Linked DNA regions of Alligator mississippiensis. The main gene of each other region encodes a partner of the protein of the gene in region 2 in a complex. Links are inferred from orthologs where the notes say so. Each region holds a gene or a part of one and is shown on either strand. Other genes may lie near its edges. The genes, in order: UBE2J1 and OS9.

Evidence for each region.
Region 1: OS9 (region 2) and UBE2J1 share a complex: the UniProt entries of both Homo sapiens proteins name them as parts of the HRD1 complex. The link is inferred for Alligator mississippiensis from reciprocal best matches to the Homo sapiens genes OS9 and UBE2J1.

The regions. Positions count from the first base shown.
Region 1 is NC_081824.1:76,993,482-77,001,829, forward strand, and holds the start of UBE2J1 (ubiquitin-conjugating enzyme E2 J1), read right to left. Parts: upstream 3,662-8,348; 5' UTR 3,558-3,661; coding exon 3,527-3,557; intron 1-3,526. UniProt on the Homo sapiens protein: Catalyzes the covalent attachment of ubiquitin to other proteins. Functions in the selective degradation of misfolded membrane proteins from the endoplasmic reticulum (ERAD) and is essential for cells to recover from ER stress.
Region 2 is NC_081838.1:7,429,990-7,439,216, reverse strand, and holds the start of OS9 (protein OS-9), read right to left. Parts: upstream 4,426-9,227; 5' UTR 4,389-4,425; coding exon 4,245-4,388; intron 2,922-4,244; coding exon 2,745-2,921; intron 2,533-2,744; coding exon 2,469-2,532; intron 2,188-2,468; coding exon 2,111-2,187; intron 1,850-2,110; coding exon 1,751-1,849; intron 1,339-1,750; coding exon 1,137-1,338; intron 1,043-1,136; coding exon 920-1,042; intron 632-919; coding exon 546-631; intron 302-545; coding exon 259-301; intron 104-258; coding exon 15-103; intron 1-14. UniProt on the Homo sapiens protein: Lectin component of the HRD1 complex, which functions in endoplasmic reticulum (ER) quality control and ER-associated degradation (ERAD).

The DNA.
Region 1 (8,348 bases), on a different chromosome or scaffold from region 2:
AGGCAACAAAAGACCCTTCTAATTTCTGTAGCTGAACACTTGTAGGTTTTGAGATACTGATTGAAGACCTATTAATAATTCAGAAAAAAGGGACTGAGCTGTGGGCTGTGTTTGATACCCCTGCCTTAGTAGAGTTAGATTTAACTGTGGGGAATATAACAGTATAGCAGAGTAATGTGTGTTGATATCACCCACAAAAATCTTTGTTTATGACAATGGTAAATGTATTTAGTACCCTTAATACCCTCATATCTAGCACATTTAACTAATAAGTACAGATTTTAATACTGTTTTGTGTATTTTGAATTATGTTTTCCAGCCAAAGATTTTTTTAATCAGCTACCAAAAATGAAATGCATTGTGTTCTAACAAGAGAGAGAAAAAAACCCTAAGAAGCTGAATAATTGCTATGCTATGCAAGCGCTTAAACACCTGGAATATGTTCCCATTAGCAAAAAGTGCCAAATTTAGCATAAAGGCTACATTTAGCTGCCAATCACCATGTTTTAATGGGTACCAACCAACAAAAATCTTTACGGACAAAAAAACCAAGCAGCACCAATGCAAAAAGTTTAAAATCAACTATTTAAATCAAGAATGATTGCTTGCTGATTTAAATCATTGATAAAATTAGAGACTGAAAACATTTCATGTTTTTGTAATAAATAAAGAACTGAATTATAAAGTTTAACTCAGTTCTTTATCTTTTAAAGCACTCTTTTAAACTCAAAAGAGTTAAAAGTGTGGAGAAATCACAAGCTGGTTGAATTTAGAATTCAGTTTTGTTACAGTAGCTGTATTTTGTTATTTCATGCAGCTGTTGACCACTAGTTTCATTTTGAACCATCTTTTGTTGAACACAATTAGGATCTTGTAACAGCAGTGGGGGAAAAAATTTCCAGATTAACCACAGGCACTTGCTCTCTCCACCCAGTTACCAAGGTTGCATTATTCAGTGCAATGCCATTCTTTCCAGTGACGTGGCAAGCCATAACAAATGGGTGTGCTTGCATGCCTCATCAGTTGACATATGCAATAAACCAAACCTAAATATACTTAAGTGTGTCTGATTTCCTAAGTTGATTATTTTAAAAAGTTATCATCTTGTACTTTTGTCTGTGTGACCCTTCTACTTACAAGTTTTTTTTTTGAGAAGTCACAGCTCTAATGTATTTGTTGCTATATGAAAATATATGATATCAATGAAGATGATTAGAGGCCTGAGAGGCATGACTTACAAGTAAACACTGAAAGAACTAGTGTTGGGTTATTTAGTCTTGAGAGGAAAAAATTGAGGGGAATTTGATAACACTTCAAATACCTGAAGGGTGATGATAATAGAGCTCTGTATACATTGAAAGGAAGTGGGAGAATACTCCCAGGTTTGTTCTCATGGTAGAGAAACTTATCTAAAGCCACATACCTCATACAGACATTCAGTTTCTCCTGGGAGAGTCACTGCTCTCTTAGGAGAAACCACAAGTGTACAGATGATCAGGCTTTTCACCAAAAATAAAAAAAGGCCACTCCTGGAAAAAAATAACCTGGGAACAGCCAGGGTTAAATCACTCCCAAATGTCTGTACCTGATAGGGCTTCTTTCAAAGGAGAACAGAGTCCTCAAGTTTCAGCAAGAAAAATTTAGGTTGGAGATTAAAAGGAACTTCCTGACTGAGAGACTGGTCAAGAAATTGTGGAATCTCCATCCTTGGAGGTTTTCCAGGAGCAGGTTAGACAGAAAATTAGCTAGGATGGCGTAGTCAGGGATTATCCTACCTTGAGCAGAGGACTGTACTAGATAACACTGTAAGGTCCCCTCCAGCACTCTTCTCAAATGATCAGGCATGTCTAATGTGTTTGCTATAACTATAAACTATTCCTATGTATTACTCTGAAGCTTACGCATTTGGTGAAATAAGCTTTTTTGACATGTACTTAAAAAGCAAATTAACAAAATGTATCTATTTCAGTGCAAGCATGGTACATGGGAAAGAACACATAAGAGGAAACTACTGTGTTGCTATATACAAAATGTTTTTGACAAAAGTCAAACTATGTACAGAAGCCCATGTAGTGTCAATAAATTAACACGGAAAATAGCCAGGAAATTCTAAGCTGAGGTAAAAAATTAAAAAAAAATAAAAATAAATTATGAAACGACTTTTCATTTCCATACATTTCAGTACTGAAAATTAAATTACTCCAAACAACTGACTGCATTCTAGTGCAGCCTGGGTCACACAAGTGAGGAACACCTATAATGTGTTCTTAGTCTATAAAGTGCAAATTGGACCAACCGGCTAGCAGCCTCTTAAGACGGGTGGGTCTTTTTTTTTTTTTTTTTAATAGATGCAGGGCCTCCTAACTTCACATTCCCATGACCAACTACCTCTCTCTTGTCTACAACATAACATAGTTCCTTTTACTGCATGCCAGGGGGAGAGCACACCCCTCAACAAAGGTCCACTGTTTACAGACATAAGGTCTGCTCTCTTCTTCTGTGCAAGAGTCACTGCTCATGGGGAAGGCCAGGCATGTCAACCAATTGGTCATGCCCAACTCCACTTGCACTGACAATACCACTGCGGCTTCAGACAGGAATTGGAGGAGACTGGCAACGTACAAGGAACAGTGGGAGTTAGCTGCAGGTCGCCAAACAGATTACACATTGCAGCCAAACGTACAATCCCTTGTTTTTAAAGTCGCACACAATGGCTAGCAGCAGCCACAAATGCTAGGCTCATGTCAGGGCCTTTAATGAGAACGACTGTCCTCTCCAACCGTTTTATGCCTTCATTGATGGTGGCCTGGTTTTCTGATGGTTGCATCCCTAAAAAAATTCAGCACTCTCCCCACCCCCACTCCACGTTTCCCCATCTTCATTCCACCTCACATTTACCAACAACAGCGATCCTCCCTAAGGCACCCTCGAGCCTTTCATGGGTGCCGCAGGTGGGGGCCCTCACGCAATGTTAGCGCTGTACACACTCGAGCGCGACTCAGCCGAGACACCCAGAGATGTCAGGTCGGGCATGAGGACACCCTCTGCCCACGGATTCCACCAGCTGGAGGGGAACCGCTCCCGTGCCTCCGAGCAGCCGGGAAAGGAAAACCAAAGGGGAATGAAGCGCTGACGTTTCCCACCCCCCCGCGGGTGGGGCGCCCTCAGTCTGACAGAGGCTGCCTGGGGCCTGGCCAGCCGGAGCCCCAGCGGCTTGAAGGGAGACGCCGATGGATGCCCCGGGCTCCAGGGTTAGGCCAGGGCAGCTCAGTCCCGTCCCTCCCCTGCCCGCCCCTCCCCCCCGCAGATGTGAGCTTAGCCGCCCCCAGCTCCTGCCCCTGGGGGGCAATGCCCTGCCCTGCCTGGAAGCTGCCCCGGGCCTCGCGCAGGCGCGGACAGGGCCAGCCGGCCGGGGGTCCAGGCCAGGGCCTGCGCCCGGCGCCAAACCGCGGCCTCGAGTGCCAAGGAGCCGCCGCCGCCGGACGGGAGAAGCAGCCTAGCGTAGCGGGGGTGAGAGGCCGCTTACCCGGGCTCTTGAGGTTGTAGCGGGTCTCCATGGCCCGGCGGCGCCGCGAGAAGGGAAGGGAAGAGAAGGGGCGGGCGAAGCCGGCTGAGCCTCCTGACGTGGCGGCGGCGGCGGCGGCGGCGGCTCCTCTGTGACTGAGGCCAGTGGGCGGGGCGGGGCGGGGCGGGGGAGGCGCCGATTCGCCCGCCCCTCGGCCTAGCCCGGCCCTCCCCTGGCGCGGGGGGGCGAGGACAGGCCTGGCTCGGGCATAGCTGCTGGGCCTTGGCCCCGGCTTTGCGTCCAAAACCGAGTGAAAGTTTGCGAGCTAGCAGGGCCCCGGCCCCGCGGACGGAGCGCGGCGGTCTGGCGGGGTAGGTCTGGCCTTTGCTGCCCCGGCGGGGGTCCTTCCCGCCTCCTGCCTCAACACGTGCCTGGGGAGCTGCGGTTGCGGCAGGGAAAGCAGGGCGGGAAGAGGCCCGGCTGCGCCATGGAGTTCACGTCCCGTTCATTCCTGGTTAAGCCCTCCCGGACGGGGGTCTGTCCAAGCTGCTCTTGAAAATGTCCAAGGATGCAGATTGCACCACCTTTTTAGGGAGCTTGTCCCTGCGCCTGACTGCCCTCGTAGTCCGAAACTCCCTCCTAGTTCTCTCCAGCCTACCTTTTCCCTGTTGAAGGAGATACACGTGTGTGTGTGTGTGTGTGTGTGTCCTGCGGGCCTTTGTGCAGGCTGCGCGGGTGCGGCTTTGGTAACAGGTTATGGTTTTCTTTGTGGAGTAATACTTGGAGTGTAGATATAGATATAACCTCATATAGATAAATAGATATTTTTCAAAAAAACTCGCTAGCTTGCTCCTGTGGCCCTACGGCTGAGGGCGAGGGAAACCCGGGGACATCCGAACCCCAAGCCTCTTGGCTTGGGCCTGCCCATAGGACGGCTGCCAAAGGATTTGGAAGCATCCGAAGCCTGGGGTAGGGGTGGAGGATGTTTGCCAGTAATAGGGTTACATATGGTTCTTGAATGACTCACAGATTTGGAAATGATTTGGCTGATTTGACTTGGGACATGAAAAATTTTCCTTAAAAAAAAAAAAAAACAAGCCTGAGTTTCCGTTGACGAAGCTGCAGGCCACTGTTCCCTGTCCTGTCCCCTACAGCCAGAGAAAAAAGCCCATCTCCATCTCCTCTGTAATTGCCCTTCAGGTATTTGAAGACTTATCAAATCCTTCCTCCCCTATGTGCCTTATTCCAGGTACAGCGGGAGCTCGGGATCGCCATCCCACGTTGCCCCTACACTGGCAAATAACAAGCTCTTGTAGCTGATAGGACTCTTGCTCCCCACAGGATGCAGGGTGCAGCGGGGCCTGAGCATCCTGCCAGGTGTGGGACTTGCAGCCCCAGGGTGCCTTGGCAGCTAGGAGATCACAGCAGCTGCAGTCTCCCAGCTGTGGGGGCACAGGCTACACATGCAAATTAAAGCTGGCTAGAAACCAGCTATGAAGTTATTACACACTTTCCAGCAATAACTTGATAGCTGGTTGGCCCTTAAGGTGCCAGAGTTCATTTGCACGTGTAGCTAATCTAAATTAGTAGAGGGGGGCCTTGGAAGTTGACACCATCTTCTTTCCAAGAACAGCAACGAAGGGGAAAACTTCACCCATAGATTATGATGAGGCGGTACGGACTTGAATTTACCAGCTGTCCATACTCTTACTACATAGCTTGGCTGAACATCCCAGGGTTTCCCAAACTTCTCAAAGAGCCTGATAAATATATAACTGTACAGGTTTTTTCAACGTTGTCTTGCCAGCTGTTTAACAAGGTGAACTTGAGGTTTTTTCCACGAAATTGAAAGCCACAGCTCCCTCAGGACATTTTTTTGGTTTGTTTTAACTTTAAATGTAGACACCAAAGGTTACACACATAGGAACGGCCTAGTTTGCAGAGACACCAAGTTCCCATTGACTTCACTGGATACTGTGGACAAATGGATTAATTCAGGGATGTTCTTAAGTGTCTATGTTTTATCACCCAAATTTGAAAATGTTAGTCCTGAATCCTGGTTTACCATTCATCTGATCTCTAGCTCAGAAGTTTAAAAAATTACTCTTTGCTTTCCACTCCTGAAGTTGGTGCTGGTACAGATAGTCATTTCAGTCCACCTTCTGAGTGGAATAGTGTACAAGCAATCTTTTTGCCTACAAGGCAAAATTCCAGTTCTAGTTCCAGCAGTTGAAGGCACAGGAAACCTTATCTTACCTTAGGGTGGGATGTATTCAACAGGGCAAGGTTATAAAAATATTCAGGAAGGGAGTAATTGAGAAATTACCCATTACATCAGCTGGTGCACAAAAGCCATCCCTACTGCTCTTCCATTGTAACATTTATATGCCCAAGGAAATGGTCACAATTTGGGGATATATAGAAAAGCTGCAGTACTTTAATAAGCAGGATTTTGACATTTTCGGATTGTGTTGCAGATATGGGTCAAAGTGTATGAAGCCATCTTGTTCAGGATCAGTAAGGAGCATTCCATTATACAGTGTTCCCCTCTCCCCTCACTCGGATTCGCTAAGTGGGAGAACTATGCTAGGATTCACTGTAACTTTTTTCTGTTATCGTAAGAGTATTATTATCTGTGCCCACAAATCCTCCCCCATGAAAAGTACTTTGAATGCAAATATTATGTGAATAAATGCATAATTCAAGTACAGCAATATTTCTTGTGTAGTTGCAAGAATCATGTGAACTTCCCTTATCACTTCATGGGTGTTGAGAGTTGTGCTAGAGAGTGGTTATGGCATAAACTTTTTATAGCCAAAGGAAGCACCTGCACTGAATAAGAAACTGCAGGTTTTAGCAAAAAGAATTGCACAGTCATCATAACTGCAGCAGACTAAATATTATTGCTTAAAAAGATTTCACAAACCTGCAATCTACAAATAAACTTTTCCATTTACTTAAAACCTATTTTTGACAGTTTTAGATTAAGGGTTACCACTATGTGCAATACAGGAGTATTGATAGGAGATTGATATTTATTTGCTAGTCCCAGTCAACAGCCAGAAATCTGATGTCACGCAGCCCTTTAGCGCCTAACTAGATTTAGTTTAGCCTGTTGATTACTTCAGGGTAAACATAAGAAGTTAGACTTTCTTCAAACAGCTAGCAGAAGTTTCCCAATCACAGGCCCTGGTTTTCATGGGGGACTTCAGTCCCTTTGACATCTGCTGGGAGGACAATACAGCAGTGCGCAGGCAATCCAGGAAGTTTTTGGAGAGTGTTGGGGACAACTTCCTGGTGCAAGTGCCAGAGCATCTAACTAGGGGCTGTGCTCTTCTTGACTTGCTGCTCACAAACAGAGAAAAATTGTTGGGGAGTATACTAGCAGATGGCATTTGGGCAGCAGCAACCATGAAATGACTGAGTTCAGGATCCTGAGGAAAGGAAAGAGGGAGAGCAGCAAAGTAAGTATCCTGGACTTCAGAAAAGCAGACTAACTCAGGGTTGGGAAGCCATTCTGAAATGGAGAGGAGTCCAGGAGAGCTGACTGTACTTTAAAGAAGCCTTACTGAGTGTAGGAACAACCCATCCCAATGTGCAGGAAGATTAGCAAATATGGCAGAAGACCAGCCTGGCTAAGCAGGGAACTCTTCAGTAAACTAAATAACAAAAGGGAAGCTTATAAGAAATGGAAACTTGGACAAACAACTAGGGAGGGGTATAAGAGTATTGCTTTAGCATGCAGGGATGAAGTCAGGAAGGCCAAAGTGCAATTGGTGTTGCAGCTAGCAAGGGACATGGTAGGTAACAAGAAGGGTTTCTACAAATATGTCAGTAACAAAAGGAAGACCAAGGGAAATGTGGTTCCTTTATTGAATGGGGGACAGAGAATGCCGAAAAGGCTGAAGTGCTCAATGCCTTTTTCACCTCAGTCTTCACAAGCAAGGTCAGCTCCCAAACTACTGCCCCTGCCAGCACAGTTTGGGGAGGAGGTAGCAGCCAACAGTGACAAAATAAGAGGTTAGGGATTATTTAGAAAAACTGGGAATATACAAGTCCATGAGGCCAGATGGGATGCACCCAAGGGTGCTGAGGGAGTTGGCTGTTGTGATTGCAGAGACACTGGCGATCATCTTTGAAAACTCATGGCTATCAGGAGAGGTCCTGGGTGATTGGAAAAGGGTAGGAATAGTGTCCATATTTAAGAAACGGAAAAAGGAGGATCCAGGGAACTACAGACCAGTCAGCCTCACCTCAGTCCCTGAAAAAATCGAGGAGGTCATCAAAGAATCTACTTCTAAACATTTGGAGGAGGAGAAGGTGATTAGGAACAGTCAGCATGGATTCACCAAGAGCAAGCCATGCCTGACCAATCTGATTGCTTTCTATGATGAGATGACCGGCTCTGTGGATGCAGGGAAACCAGTGCATGTGGTATACTTTGATTTTAGCAAGGCTTTTGATGCAGTTTCCCACAACATTCTCGCAGGCAAGCTAAGGAAATACAGGCTGGATGAATGGACTGTAAGGTGGGTAGAAAACTGCAGCATCCGACTTAGAGGGTAGTAATCAATGGCTTAATGCAGGGGTAGGCAATGTTTTTTGGCTGGAGTTCCAAACAAACCACAATGTCTACTTTGTAAGGTGCTGGAGTGCCAGCACACCACAGAAACAAAACTCAGGCGGAGGGGGTACATGGCAGGATGCACTGCATGTTTAATACTATTAATAATCATGAACATTGCTTTTTTGGGGGCTTTTTTTTTTTTTTACAGTAAATCGAGAGCTGGTGTCAGGTGGGGAGCGGGGGCTGCCCCTGGGCTCTGCTACTCAGGCCACAGCG
Region 2 (9,227 bases):
CAGTCCATGCCCACCTTCCGGGCACTTGCTTTCAGCTCTTCGATGAGCTGCACCAGGTCCCCCGGGCTCCGAATCACCTTGAAATGGATTTTCCGGTGGAAATCTGCAAGGGGCCAAAGCCCCAGGGGTGGGGGAGGAAGGGGCACATCAGGGTAGAGCTGGTGCCAGGGACCCCAATGCCCCCAAATCCTCCAGCTGGATGAGGCCATGGCACAAGCCCTTGCCCCGTGCCCCCCACACCTACGCGGAGGCACTCACCTGCCAGGGGGCCATCAGGCGCCTTTACTGTGGGTTCCTCCTCCTGTGTGGGAGCCAAAACAACACAACATGGTGGGGGCACGGCTGGGGTCACATGCCACCAACACCTTTGCAGCCAAGGCTGCTTAACCCCATGCTGCCCAGCCAGGGCTTTGCCCCCCCCATACCTGGCTGGACACAGACACACAGTGCCCCCTGCTGGCCCTGCCAGGAAGGAAGCAGGAGCCAGGACAGGAGTCAAGGGCACCCAGAGGATGGGCAAGGCACAGCACCCATGGCCCATGTACCTTGGTGGGGTCCAACGGGTCATCTGCTGTGGGTGGGGGGTCTCGGGGGCCAGCATTCTCTGCCGGGCTGGGAGCAGAGGGCTCACCTGGAACCAGACAGAGCAGTGCTGAGCGTGGCGCTGGGAGTAGGGGGGCCGTGCCCGCAGCTGCAGCCCCATCCCTACCTGGCACCTCCAGCCAAGCCTCCCACCCCCACTCAGGGAGAGAACCTGCCCCGCCCCCCCACCATAGTGAGTGCCTCCAGGTGGGTGTGGGTGTCCTTAAAGGGGCAGCGCCCCATTTGCAACCCAAGGATGCTCTCCAAGTGGCCTACACAAGCCAAGGCTCTTCCCCATCCCACACAGCTGAGGAACCCAGGAGTCCGACTGCCGTACCATCGAGGGAAGGGTCTTCCCTGGGTGGGGGCTTGGCCGGGCTGGGGTCCTGCTCACTCCAGAGCCGTGTGTCCAGCGTCCGTAGCTCCTCCGAGATCTCCTCCACCTTGCGCTTAGTGTCAGCTGAGGGAGGCCGAGGGCAGAGATCACACATGGGTGGGGGGGCAACCAGGCCCTGCCATCCGTATTGCCCCCCTCCCCCAGTCCGGATACTCACAGACTTGGGCCTGGACATACTGGAGGTACTGGGCAGGGCTTAGCGCAGGCTGGCAGCGGATGGGCTGGGGTGTGGCAGCTGCGGGTGGGCGTAGGAAGGGGTGGTGGCAGATGCGGGTCGTGTGCACTGTCAGCACATAGGAGCACGACTGTGGCTCATCCACCCGCGCGATGTAGTCACCCGAGCCCTCCTCGCACAGGAACTGGGGGGGAGGTGCAGGGGACATTAGTGTGGCCAGATCCCCCTACCCCCCAGGACCCCCCCCAACAAAGCACCCAGCCCCCCCCCCCCCCCCAATGCCTCCTCTAGCCAGAGCCCCTCACCCCCAATGATAACCCCTGCCCAGAGCTCCCTGGCCCACCCCTCCCCTCCCCTCCAGCCAGAGGCCCCCCACAAGCCCCTTCCCAGCCAGAGCCTCCCTGAGCCCTTTTCTAGCCAGATACCCCCACCTCGCAGGGTGTAATGACTCCTGGCAGCTAATTAGCACCCCCCACCCAATCACCACCCCTATGCCCACCCCAGAGGCCAGGAAAGCAGCACTGGGGGAGGACGCTGCCAACCAGCCAGGCAGTGAAAAGCCAGACCCTACCCCCCACAGCTGTTCCCCACCTTACCCGGACCTCAGCCTCTCTGGCGCGACCATTGAGGTCACACTTGGAGCCGTTGACGTAGGTCTGGCTATGATAGCGCTTGAGACGGTGCTGCTTCGAGGCCTGGGGGTGGGAAACCACAAGTCACTTCCTGCTTCAGGTGGAGAAACTGAGGCACACAGGTCACGGAAGAACCATAGAAAGTACATAGGTTCTGCTGCCAGAAAGCCAGGCCCTGCCGCCACTCACGAGCCAGCCTGTCCAGTCCCCCCAAGCCCACAGGAGACCCCAGCCCCCACTTTGCCCCAAAGAGCCCAGCCCCTGCTGATGCCTTCCCCTCATCCCACAGAAGCCCACCCCCCCATAACCCCCTATGCCCCGCACCTTGGCAGTCTCATTGTCCCAGTCAAAGGCAGATTGATAGTAGCCCAGGTACAGGACATCCCCCTTGATCTCCGACTCTACAGAGCCAAGGGCAAACAGTTACAGCCCGCACACCTGCGTGCGTGCAGCACCAGCATGCACGTGCATGCAGGGACACGGGTATTGGCAAGCCAGGCTCAGCTCTGTTATGACACTCGGGGATCCCTCATCCCATCTGGGCAAGGGAAGGGGAACATTAAATAAAGTGCGTGTAGGGGTGGAAACTGGCCACACAGGGCAGGGACACACGCATGTATGCACATACATGTTGCTGGGCCGGCAACATAACCCTAGCAGGAGTGTGGCCGGCCCGTGGTACCTTCAATGTGGTACTGCTGGATGTGCCTCCCGTAGCAGAACTCATATGTCCACCAGTCCTTGGTCTGGGGGAGGGAAGGTGGGTAACACGTGTGACTCCGGGCCCCCTCCAGTCACACATCACCCACCCCCCTCTCTGAGCCTGCCACGGCCTGCCTGAGCCTCGAACCAGTGGGCGCAAAGGGGGGGGGGGGCGACCCCCACCCGCTCCCCAGCAGGCTTTGTGGTGGGCACCTCCCATCCCACGTCCAGCCTCCGGTGCAGGCAGGTGCCTTACCTTACGGAGACAGGGCGCAGCACCCATGGGCCGCAGCAGCTCCATGATGCCCAGCCCGCTGTAACCCCGGGGGTCATCTTCAGGCTCCCGGTGGATCTTGATGGCAGCCGGCGGCAGGCGGCATTCGTACTTCTGCTTGTACTTGGAGGAGATGGTCACCACGTCCTCGGCCCGGCTCTGGGGGAGTGGGATACAGGGCCATCAGGGTTCTCCTGGGCTCTGTGTCCAGCCACCGGCACCAGGACCAGGGCAAAGGGCACCATTGGCTCCTCCCTGGCCCATCTGACCCATGACCCTCATCAGCAGTTTGCTCGTAGCCTCATGCAGCAACCCTGGCTTCCCATGCTGCTGCCCCCATCCCTCTTGTACAACCCGGCCCAGAAGTGCAGCCACTTCTGGGGTGAAGCTCCAGGGGCAGAGCACAGGCCGGCCACCAAACCTGACGCGGCAACCTCAAAAGTCTTGCTTCTGCTTTCTAGAAAGATTTGCCTACAGAGCACCGCGATCAGATGACTTTAGGAAGGAGGAAGCAGGGGCCAGCAAGATACCGTTATCTCCAAACCCAGGCACAGTTCACCTTCTCTACCCTGCGCTTCCCCATCCGGACCCAGGCAGCCAGAGCCGCCAGCAACAGTCGCTGTTGGTGCCCAGCCCAGCTGGGGGTTTGCGCCCTGCCCTGCCACAGCCAAACAGGAGGTAAGGGACAGGGGGCACGGCACGTGGGGAAACAGAGGCACGAGGTGGGGGGGTTAGTGAGACCTAGGGTGGGCTCGGGAAGCAGCTAGTGATGGGTGCCCCCACCCCAGGGCACAGGGGAGACGGGGTGATGGGAGGTGCTGGGACCAGGTCAGGATGAAGCCCCCTCAGGGAGTGCCAGGGTTTCATAGACGGTAGGGGCTGGAAGGGACCTAGCAGGTCATCGGGTCCAGCCCCCCCCCCCCCGCTCTAGGCAGGAAGACGACTGAAGTTAGATAGACCGCAACCAGGTCCAGTCTCCTCTTGAAAGCCTCCAGGGTAGGCGACTGCATCACCTCTGGAGGAAGCTTATTCCTCAGTCGGGACTCCCTGACCGTGAAGTTTTCCCTGGAATTAAGCCTGAAGCGGTCTGCCGGGAATTTGTATCCAGTGGTCCTGCCCTTCCCCGCGCTGCCCTAGCGCACAGCTGTTCACCCAGCTCCCCACGCACTCCTCCTCCCGGAGAGCGGCAAGCCGCTATCAGGTCCCCTCGGCCGTCTCTTCTTCGGGCTACAGACGCCCGGGTCCCTCAGCCTCTCCTGGCGCGTCCCCGACCAGGCGGGTGGCTCTTCTCTGCACCCGCTCCGGTTTGCCCACGTTGAAGCGCGGCGCCCAGAATTGGACGCTGCCCTCCCGCTGCGGCCTCACCAGCGCCGAGCACAGCGGGGGGGGGGGCCCTCGGGCAGTCTGACACGGGGGGGGGGGGCGTGTCCCGGGGGGGGCGCCCACCTCCCCCACAACCCTAGCCCGGCCCCTTGGTCCCACCTGCCCGGCCAGCACGGGCTCGGCCGCGATCTCGATGCCGTACTTGAGGTCGCTGAGCTCCTGCAGGTTGAGCGCGGCCCCGGCGCGGCCCGGGCCCAGCAGCGCCAAGGCCAACGCCGGGAGCAGCACCCACCGCGCCGCCATCTTGCTCCCTCCCTCCTACCCGCCGCCGCCGCTGCTTCCGCCCGTCCCCGCAGGGCCTCGCGCCGCCTCTCCCGCGCCGCCGCGGAGCGCCGTGCGATTGGGTCTCTCTCCCTGCCAATCACCGCTGCCGCTTTTTCATTGGCCGCCAGCTAAGAGCGCGTGAGGCCGGACAGGGACTGTCACCCGGGAGGCTGGGATTGGTCCGCGTCTACCCTCGCAGCGGCAAGGAGGAGCTAGTGGCGTGATTCTGAGCGCTTTTAAAGGGCCAGCGGCATCAGGGAGCCGAGTCCCTGGCGGCCGCTCTGCGGCCGCGGGAAGGAGGGGATTGGTTGAACGAGATCACATGACCCAAAGGAGCTGTCACCGTGCTCAAGGGCTGGGACGAGGCACGTGGGCGGGGCCCTGGGGCAGAGGGCGATGGCCGGCTTGCATTCAGCCTGGGGCTGGGGCTGGGGGGCCACCAGCTGAGATGGAGAGGGGGTCTCTGGGTCCCCCAATGCCCTCTGACCTGACTCAGGGGTGGGATCCTGCTCCGGGGCAGTGGTGCTAGGGCAGCAGCCCTGGGGTAGGGGGGTGATGGCAGGCCTGAATCCAGCCTAGGGCGGGTGGCCCACCAGCTGAGATGGGGAGGGGGTCTCTGGGCCCCCCAATGCCCTCTGACCTGACCCAGAGGTGGGATCCTGCTCCGGGGTGGTGGCGCTGGGGGCAGCAACCCTGGGACAGGCTGGGCAGAGGCCAGGCGAGGCAGCTGGTTACTTCCTCCACAACTGCATGCTTGCTCGCATGCCAAAAAAAGAAGCAGCCAGACCAGGGAGGAAACACGGCCTGCTGAGCACACCTCACCATGGCCCCAGCCCGCTGTACCCAGAGGAAGGGCGAAGGCCGGCCAGGGCCCATCTCACCTGGGATCGGCCTCCGGGTCGTGGGGGGAACCCCCCACCCACACCCAGCGCCACCCCCTTGCCCTGGGCATGGGGTCACTGCGGATCCCAGAGTGCCCGAGGCCACGTGCTCACTCCTGGCCTGGCCACCCGGCTTCAGGGATGTAGCAGCTCCGCACTGCCGGCCTGGTAACTGGAGCTAACCCTGCTCCTGTCAGAGCCATCCATTAGGAGCAGCAAATTAAAAGCTTTTTTCTATGTAATGAATAGAAGATGCGGTTAGGGTCAGGGCCCGGGTGATGCCCTCACCTGCTGCTTCCCAGGCCCCAGATTTGTGGGCACCAGCTGGGCACCAAAGCTGTGGCTGAGCTGGGTACCCCAAGGCTCACGGGCCAGGCCCAGGGGAGCTCCCCTTTCTCCTTCATTCAGCAATAGGAAGGGAAATTCCTTCCCGCTGGTCCACCCCAGAGCTAGCCGCATTAGCAAAGCCTGGCCCCCGGTTCAATGCTAGGAGGATACATGGAGGGTTAAAGCCGGGTGTTCTCCACTCCAGAGACACCCGCCGCACAGCCTGGGCCCAGCCCAGGGAGCAGCCACCCACCCCCGGGAGCACAATGAACCCCTTTGTGCCCAGCCCCAGGGCCACTCGGCACGGACACAACGAGGGGGATTGTTATCTGGGGAGAACATCTGCATCCAGGCCCGGGCTCCCCTGCGGCTCTTGCCTGCCCGCGGCCTGCCAAGCCCCGCCTGGCACCCTGCCCGGCTTAAACACCCGGGCTCAATCCCAGCTAGTTATGAGACTGCGGTGGATCAGGGCCTCTGGGAGTGGATGGAGGGGAGCGAGCAGGGGAGGCCCCCGGGGCAGGGGAATCAGCCCCATCCCTGGCAAGGAGCCTAGGAGGTCTCAGCCCTGGGCCTTGCCCTGCCCTGCTCCTCCAGGCACCCATCCTGCTGCATGCCTCAGTTTCCCCACTTGGGACAGCTGCATTACACATCCCTGCATCCCGCTGTGTCCTCCCCAGCTGGGAGCTGACACGAGCCCCTACTTGGGGGTCCTGACAATATCTCCCCCCACCTCCAGCTACAGAGAGGGGCCACGCAGACCCTCGGGACACCTGGTCCCACTCCCAGCTCAGCACCCGCCCAGGGGATATTGTCTGTGCAGGGCCTGGCGCTGCACCCCTGGCTGGGGGCAATGCACCTAATAATACCCCAGCCCCCCCACCCCCCGGGGTGGACTCCCCCCTCCCCACCCTCTGGGAGCTCCTGGGGGGCCCCGATCCTGGGCACTGCCAAGCAGGGGGGCAAAGGGGGGGTGTCCCAAAATAGCCCCTCCTCCTCCCTTTGTGCGGGGATCCCTTTGTCTGAGCCCAGGAAGCCCCCCCCCCCGGACCCCCGGAGCCAGGCAGGGGCTGGGGGGGGCGGGGACCCGCAGTCAGTCCCGCCGGGGGCCGCCAGGGGCGCCGCCGGTCCCCGGCCGGGGCCGCGCATCCTGCATCCCTCCCGCATCCCGCATCCTGCATCCCGCCCGCGCCGGGCCCCGCCGGGAGGATGTGAGCGAGCCCGGGCGAGCCCCTCCGCAGGGCACAGGTAGGGCGCGGGCAGCGCGCCGGGGGGCTGCGGTATTGCCCCCCCCCCACATGCCTGGCATGGGGCAGGGAGGGGTGGCAGCACTGGGGGGGCTGGATTGGGTCCTACCTGCCCCCCCCCCCCCGGCCTTGCACTGGAGCCAGACAATAGCAGATCCCCCCGTACCCTCTCCTGGCACCCCCCCCCCCCCACACACACACACATAGTGGAATCGGGGGGGGGGGGCTTGCTGGGTACTCTGCCCTCCCCCTCCCCAAAGCCTGGCAGGGGGCAGGGGTGGTAGCAGCCCTGGGGAGGGCCTGGATTGGGTCCTACCTGCCCCCCCCCCAGCCTTGCATTGCAGCTAGACAATAGCAGAGCTCCCCCCCCCCCACACACACACACACACAAGGGGGGATTCACCGGGCACCACCCAAAGGCAGCCGCCATCCGTGCCCAGGCAGGGGGAGCATGGGAGGGGCATTTGGGGCTCTCCCTTCTCTGGTTGCATTCACCCTGGGGTGCTTCATGGGTTATCTGGGTGCCTCCCGCTTGGGTACCTGCCCCCCTTAGGTTCATCCAGAGGCAAAGGGGCATGGGAAGGTGCCTCCCACCAAGGTGGCACCAGGCACCCCCCCCATTTGCCATAAGCCAGGAGGCTGCAGAGGCTGCCCTGGGCCCCAGCCAGGCCCGGGGAGGCACAGACAATGCCGGGTTTCAGCATTGTTCCAGTGCCTGCCCCTGCCCAGGGGCACTGCAGGACTCTGCTGGTGGGGGGGCAGGGCAAGGAGAGTTGGCATCAGAGAGGGGCTTTGCCCAGCTCTGCTGCACCCCACTGAATGGGGGGTCCCCACTCCACCCCCCTGAGCAGGAGACAGGCACTGGAAGCCCAGACAGCCCCTGCCAGGCCCTCTGCACCCTGGGGCTGCACGGTCACCTGGCCCCAGAAGCCCCCCACCCAGCCCAGTGTCTTTCCCCCAGGCTGGTGCTGCCCAGAGGCCATGCCCGTGCCCAAGTGAGGTGAGGGGCTCCATGCCCACGGCCCGACAAGCCCAGGAAGTGCCAAGCACGCGGACCAAGGTGAGCATGGGCAAGGCTGGGGGGAGGGGGCGGGTGAGCCAACCCTTGGCAGGGATGGGGAGCACCCAGCACTGGGGGGGTGGGGCGGGTGGCTGGAGGAGGGTCAGCCCTCCCAGGGCCTTCCTACAATGCCCTGCTGCAATCGCCCCAAGAGCCAGGCATGAGTGAGCAAGGTGCCAAGGGAGATGCCACCCCCTCTGCATCCCACAATGCATTGCAGCTGTGCCCCCACAAGGCAGCAAAGGATGCTGGGATGCCTCCCCCAATGCACCATCGCCTATGAGCTCCTAGCCCTGCCTACTCCGTACCTGCTTGGTGGAGGGGGTCCCTGGGGCCTGGCTGCGGCCCTTGCCCCCCCACCTTGCCAGCCACACCCTCTGGCTGCCTCCCCTCCCCTGCATCCAGGGCTGGGCACTGATTTATTTGAATTGCAAACTCCAGGCTTCTCCTTCCTGCCTAAGCAGCGCAGGGCTGGGTGAGAAGGCATGGAGGGGAGACCCACCCACCCTGCAGGCCCTGTCACTGTCCTGTTGCCCTTGGTCCACCTCCTTCAGGCTCGTTGCAGTGGGTGGGAGAGCTTCTCCTCCCCAGAGCTGGTTGGTTGCATCGGGGTGCAGCACTGGATGGGAGCAGCATGATCCAGTGCCAGGCCACGTGCAGACCTCTTATGGGTGCCAAGGGAGAGTCGTGGGGAGGGAGGGTGGGAGCCAAACAACCGCACCAACTAATTAGCAAATGAGGGCATTTGAGCCAAGAGGTTGCTTGGCATTTTTGTGTCAGTCCCAACCTTCAGCAAACAGGATTGGGGGAAGTGGGGGGGGCTCACTTCCAGCAGTGGAAACTGAGGCACGGAGCAGGTCGGACGGGCACCCCTGGATTCCCCCCAACCCCTGTGGCTCTGGTTGGGGGCAGGGCTGTGCCACTGTTGCCCCTCGCTCCTCACCCCCTGGCAGGTAGGATCCCCTCAGGGAAGCGGACGGGTGACACCCGGGAGTCTGCAGCCCAAAACCTGGCACCTCCCTTCCCTGCCCCCCTCCCATGCAACACCCTGGGGGGTGCTGGGCACGGAGGGAGCCTGGCACACCCTGCAAAGGTGTCCTTGAGCCACAGTTCCAGTGGGGGGGTGAAGGTAATGTAATATGGGGGGGGCTGGCATTGCCCCCCTGGCCACGTATGGGGCGAATAGCAGGGAAGAGTGGGGGGCACTGGCGTTCCCTGCTCCAGCTGCTGTTCCCCTCCTGCCAGAGGCCTGTAGAGGAGGGGCAGCTGCCCCTGCCCAGGGGGCTCCAGCTGGGGCCGGCTGGGG